Linked DNA regions of Rattus norvegicus. The main gene of each other region encodes a partner of the protein of the gene in region 2 in a complex. Links are inferred from orthologs where the notes say so. Each region holds a gene or a part of one and is shown on either strand. Other genes may lie near its edges. The genes, in order: Gjc1 and Tjp1.

Region 1 (2,578 bases), on a different chromosome or scaffold from region 2:
TTCTGCCTCGGCTTCCCTATGGATCTGAAATCTTTCCTGAAACACGAGAGGCACTTTATTAAAGTCCCATCTACTAGAACTCCAGTCACAAGATAATATTTGCTAAACAAAGTAATAACATTGCCCTTTAACAGACATTATTTACAAGGATTTTTCCTTTAATATAAAAAAGTGTAACTACAGCAGTCCAATGTACAAATACAAAAAAGTTATCATACTAAAAAAAAATGTACCATAATACTGTACATACAAAACTGTTCAACAAGAATGATTTAAATATATCTGTTCTTCTCCGGATCTGGAAGACACAGCTTAGAGTTCTGCAACTGCATTATTGCTGAGAACCTGTGCCTGGGAACACTGTGTTTCCCGCTCCGGACTCATCCCAGATCCACTTTCAGTCCCCTGAGTTTGGATCACGAGCCAACAGCATCCCTGAAGATAACCAGAGCCAGATGTTTACTCAATGGGAGTCATCATTCAGCAAGTTGCTGCTTACCATAAACTATGGAAACCCAAGCTTTAAGCCCAACCAAGATTAAATCCAGACGGAGGTCTTCCCATCTCCTGATTTGCTACTAATACTGCTTTTGTTGGACCCAGATTTGGACCCCACTTTGGCCTTCTTTTCCCGAGGACCATGGGGGTTGTTCTGGTGATGGTAGGCCTGGATTGCTAGATCCAAGCGTTCCTGGGCCATTCTGATCTCCCGCTGCAGGGTCTCCAGATCGGCCGGGAGGTGCTCCTCGTGGCTGCCGTACTGCTGCTCCTGGGCGATATTGGCTTTGTTCTGCTTGTAGGCAATCTTAGCATTGGACAACTCAGTGTACTGGATTTGATCTGGTTTGACAGCAATGTTATAGCCTGGGGGAGCAGATGGTGTATTCCAAGTGAAAGGATAATTATAAGCACCCGGATCATCAAGTTCCCTCCTTTTACTGTTTAGTGAGTCTCGAATGGTCCCAAACCCTAGATGAAGCATCTCCCAAATGTTAAGCAATAGGCAGAGGCCTGTGACACCATACATTATCAGAAGGAAGATGGTCTTTTCAGTGGGTCTAGAAATAAAGCAGTCTATCTTATGAGGACAAGGAAGTCTGCTGCACACATAAAATGGGTGTACTTGGAAGCCATACAGGAAATACTGCCCTATGAGAAAGCCCACCTCAAACACAGTCCTGGCTAGCAGCTGCAACACATAGATTTTCATGAGCCCATCCTCACGAATGCGTCGGCGGCCATCATGCTTGGGTTTTGGTTGGCTCTGCTCTTTATTTTCTTTCTCGCTTTCTAACTCCATCTCTGGGTACATCATAGGATCCTCTTCATGGTCCTCTTCCGTTTCTTCCAGAGCCCGGTGCTGCTTCCAACGCATGGCATAGGGTTTGCTCCGAGCTGCCTTCTTGTCTGCCTCGCCGTGCTCCATTTTGGCAATCTTGTGAATAGCATATCCCAGGTACATCACAGAGGGAGTAGCAACCAGGATGATCTGGAATACCCAGAAGCGCACGTGGGAGAGCGGGGCAAAGGCATCATAGCAGACGTTCTCACAGCCCGGCTGCTCTGTGTTGCACACAAATTTGCTTTGCTCATCATAGTAGATGGACTCTCCTCCTACCGCAGTTAGGACAATTCGAAAGACAATCAGCACAGTGAGCCAGATCTTCCCTACAAACGTCGAATGGTTGTGTATCTCCTCTAGCAGGCGAGTCAGGAAGCTCCAACTCATGGTGGTGGAATTGGTTTGCCCTGGAAGGTGGAAAGTACCAAGCAGGGGAAATCAACAAACACTAAAAATAGTTGTCTATTTTTGGTGCCCAGTCCCACAGATAATCCAACCCTAACCACGTAAATTCATAGCATCTCTGGGGACACTGCAACCTGAGAGGTTTCCCATTGCAGACTCAGAGTCGTACAGACATCCAACTATCACTGCCCCTCACAGCAGCAGCTGGGGGCCAGGCAGCACTGTCCTCCATGCCTGCACACACACGGTCTTGTTTGTTCCTACTTCACTGACGCTGTCTCAGAGGCAGCACACCGTGTTACATACTTAGTGTGTTCTGGACATCCAGACACTGGGGTAGCTTTCTGGTCCAGTCATAGAGCTTACCATTTTAAAAAGGGACCCTTGGGTTGGACTCCATTACGAAGGGCAGTTTACTAGAAAGCTTAAGTTTTAAAGCAGGTAACAGAATGTTAAAAGTTATTAAGAAGCCAAGAGTGGTGACATCCGCCTTTAATCCCAACACTTGGGAAACAGAGACAAGGCAATCTGAGTCCAATGCCAGTCTAGTCTACAAAGTTTGTTCCAGGACAGCCAGAGATACATAGTGAGCCCCTCTCCTTAATGTTTTTTCCAAAAGTAATTAGTGACTGGTGCAGCTGCAAACAACCAATGATGAGCACTAAGTAGAAAGGAACCAAGGGGTGCTCCCTGCTAGGCCAGCTATCAGGACAGGCCCTGGTTTTGCTCAAAAGTCCACAATTTTTTTACTGGGATCCGATGTCCTCTTCTGGTATGTCTGACAGCTACAGTGTACTCATATAAAAATAAATAAATCTTTAAAAGAAAGCC
Region 2 (3,828 bases):
AGCAGAGAAATGAGCCAGAACAAGGTCAGCTCAGCGGTAGGGCACTTCCTATCGCACCTCAGGGCTCAACACCCAGCAGCACTCAAAAACAAGAGAAAGCGAAGAGTTGCTGGATGGTGGCAGCACATGCCTTTAATTCCAGCAGAGGCAGGCATGTCTCTGTGAGTTTGAGGCCAGCCTGGACTATACAGAATAACTCTGCTATAGTAACAAAAAGGAGAAAGTAATGAAGTAAGACAATAAGCAATTATCAAATAATAATCAACAAATCATGAATAAGTAAAGCCCAATTTTGGGAAAAAAAAAAAAAAAGGTTGGGCAAAAGAAATGACATAAGACAGGAGAAAGGACATACATTGACATGACAGGTATACTGATCTCTTAATAAAGATGAATTGGCAAATGAAAACATGCAGACCTTTCAAACATGGCCATGATCAATGATGTTCTGTTCTTTTCTAGCAAGCCCTGCTGTAGAAAGCTGAATCCTGTGGCGGGAGGATGCTTATTTGTGAAGCTGACACTCACGACACGTTCACAGCTTCTCTCCCTTAACAACGTCACATGAACAACAACAAAGTACTACCTGCCACCAATCCACCCCTACACTTCAATGGCAAAGCTTCCAGTGAGAACCATTACTAGAACAGGCTCCTCCCAGACCTGTGTGATTAGCAGTAGGGTGGATGTCTGACACAACTAGCACTGCACTCTTTACAGAGTGAGCACCATTAAATCAGTAAATACTGGGTTCCAGACAGTGTTCCAGACCCCAGATGCACGTTATGTAACACAATAACTAAGTTTTCACTCTTTAAAAAAAAATTGAATTAACATAAAATCAAAAGTGCTTTTCAAGCCAGGCCTGGTAGTGCATGCATTTGATCCTAGCACTTGGGCAGAGCAGGCAGATCTCTGTGAATTTGGAGACAGCCTGCTAGAACAGTCAGCAATATATGAGACCCTGTCTCAAAATCAAACCAACAACAATAACAAAAAGCCAAAAAACGAACGACTTTCCATCTGATTCAGCGGCATATATATTTTTGTAAATTTTATTTTATGAGCATTGGTGCTTTGTCTGTGTAAGGAGGTCGGGTCCCCTGCAACTGTTGTTACAGACAGTTGTGAGTTGCCAGGTGGGTGCTGGGAACTGAATTCCTCTAGAAGAACTACTGAGCCATCTCTCAAGCCCCAGCATAAATGTATTTTTAAGGATATAACCTATTTATCAGGCATGTAAAAGGCATTATAAAGTATTTCTTTAAATACCCTGGCCCTCTTCTAACAGGAATTAATGAGTTTAAAAGTGATCACCTCTGGGCCCAAGAGGAAGGCTCAGCAAGAAAGCACTGACTTTGAGTCCGACAACCTGAGGTTGGATCCTCCCATTCGCCCTCTACCTAGACTCTCATAGTGAAGAAGGGAACAAACTCCCAAAAGTTCTTCTATGAACTTCATGGGTACAATGTGGTGCACCCACCTTTTCCAAACAAATAAATGCATTTTGTTTCATCTCTTAAAGATATATTTAAAATAAGTGACTACATGGAGCTGAAGAAATGACTCAGCAGTTACATGTGCTTGCTGCTCTGATATAAGACCCTGACTCAGCTCCCAGCAGGCACATAGTGGTTCGTAACCATATTTAAATCTAATTCCAAGGGATCTGATGCTCCCTTCTAGTTTGTGTGGGTACCAGGCACATATAAAGTGCACATGCATATATGTTGTCAAAAGACTCATATACACTATTTTTAAAGATAAAATGACTACTATATAATATACCCTTTGCCTTACCAAAACCTGAGCTTAAGTGATTATCTAGATATTGCCAGGCACCTGTATAATGTTGTGCTAGAAAAATATATTATTTAATGCAATTCTCCACTGCAGTACAAAGACTGCATCAGCATTTCTCACAAACTGATTTCTTCAATAGAAACAAAGATTTAAAGAGACTAAGATGTTCTAAATCTTTACTAATGATATCTCAGAAAACAGAAGTAACTAAATTGGATCTTTAATATTACAAGTTTTAAAATATAATCTAAAAGAATTTTACTCAGTACTATATAACAATTTCACATAATCCTAACAGTTGAGGTTTAGTAAAAATGTGCGTGCTTTAATCTTGGGCACAAAGCTCACATCTTATGCCCAAGCCACAGTTCCATTTACTTATAGTGACTAAGCAGGGTGGTGCACTAGAAATGGGTTTTCAGCTAAAATGGATGCCTCTCGCCTCTTAAATTTATCAGGTAAAGAATGTAGTCCTTCCCTGAATTTAGAGGCCCCCAAGTACCTCTTGGATTTTGCTCTCCAGACCATTTTAGGATTTGTTTGGGCAGCTCCCATAATTTTATAAACAAATTCTTTGTGACAAAATCCATCTGTTTTTGTTTCTATTGGTCTTGATTTGTGGAGTATGAGCCCATTGGTGCCTGTGTTGGATCATACCCAACGCTCAGTCCCAAACTCTGTGAGGATCCACGCAGCGATGTACCAGCAGCAGGAAGCACTAATCTACCAGGCGCAAGAAAAAAGTGCACCAATACAGAAGTCACAAAAGAAGAGAGAAGCAGACAGGAAAAAACTGAGAATCAAGAAACCTGTCATTTCATTTTCACCTGATCATCTATAAAGCCTGACTACAAAACTCTACAAACACTCTGTGTTTGAAAAATAAAGAAAAAGGCAGCTTATCTCACCTCTGTGAAACCAAGACCAAAAAATACCTGAGTGTTCCCTGTGACCCTCTCACCTACCTAGGTGTATGTCTTAAAGACAAAAACAAAATAAGAAAAGGATTATCACTCAGTTTGTCTCCCTATGGAGAGACTGAAGACTCATCTTAACTTGAGGGTCTTAAGCTCATTCTTCATCAAAACTCTTGCTTTTAGCAACTTTCCCTACATCAAAACTCTGTGTATCTGATGTTAGGGTTAAGAGTAAAAACCAGGAGTTACAGCCTCTAGAAAGCAGCACAATGTGCAGCTACATACTGCACCCAGTTTCCTTAGAACTTGGAACTCTACATTATGCAAGTCCACCGCTTGTTTCTCTTAGGTGAGTCAGATGAAACAACTTACTTTGAAGAATAACTAGAGAAATTCGGCTGACTCTGAGAATGGACTGGCTTGGCAGGCTCTGAGTGATGGCCAGCAGGAATATGTGCAGGAGGCTTGCTCTCGAAACTTCTCCGGTCAAAGTAAGAGAGCTGTTTCCGGTAATACTCTTCATCCTCTTCAGGATCGTAATGATTTGATCGAACAATATCTTCAGGTGGCTTCGCTTGAGGTTTCTGAGGCTCTGGGAGCCTGATAATGAGGAACAAAATGATTTTTAGGAGCTAATTTTACAAAGACAATGGAACATAAAAATCTAATCCTATCTTGATTCCCCCCTTTTGTCTGTGTGCGTAGGCCAATGTCAGGTACTGTTCTTCAAGATTGGTCTAGTTTTGTTTTGGACTTTCATCTTTTTACTGACAGTTATGACTATTTGGGCTTTAATGGCATAGTCAGCATGTATCTTCTAAAATAGCATATTCATGCTATACATGCAAATGTAGGCTTCCTTTGCCTCAGGAGTTTTCTAGTAGAATTTAGCAGACTCAGTGCTTGTTTGTTAAGGTGTTTCACAGCAGGTGAGAAGCAATTAAAGAAGAAAGAAATCAGTTCTGGAGAACCATATCAATGTTATCGGCAAAAGGGACTTTTTTCCCCCCATTTTTTTGGAGCTGGGGACCGAACCCAGGGCTTTGCACTGGCTAGGCAAGGGCTCTACCACTGAGCTAAATCCCCAACCCTAAAAGGGACTTTTTAA

Evidence for each region.
Region 1: the proteins of Tjp1 (region 2) and Gjc1 are in contact, whole or in part, in a crystal structure (PDB 3SHW), measured with the Homo sapiens proteins. The link is inferred for Rattus norvegicus from reciprocal best matches to the Homo sapiens genes TJP1 and GJC1. Residues at the interface, in NP_003248.3 of Homo sapiens: Lys429, Ser432, Val433, Gly434, Leu435, Arg436, Leu437, Gly449, Val450, Leu451, Val484, Leu487, Leu488, Leu549, Asn551, Gly552, Lys553; in NP_001073852.1 of Homo sapiens: Lys391, Thr392, Ser393, Val394, Trp395, Ile396.

Annotation. Positions count from the first base shown.
Region 1 is NC_086028.1:88,262,700-88,265,277, forward strand, and holds the end of Gjc1 (gap junction gamma-1 protein), read right to left. Parts: intron 1,750-2,578; 5' UTR 1,730-1,749; coding exon 539-1,729; downstream 1-538. UniProt on the Homo sapiens protein: One gap junction consists of a cluster of closely packed pairs of transmembrane channels, the connexons, through which materials of low MW diffuse from one cell to a neighboring cell.
Region 2 is NC_086019.1:128,273,181-128,277,008, forward strand, and holds part of Tjp1 (tight junction protein ZO-1), read right to left. Parts: intron 3,321-3,828; coding exon 3,093-3,320; intron 1-3,092. UniProt on the Homo sapiens protein: TJP1, TJP2, and TJP3 are closely related scaffolding proteins that link tight junction (TJ) transmembrane proteins such as claudins, junctional adhesion molecules, and occludin to the actin cytoskeleton.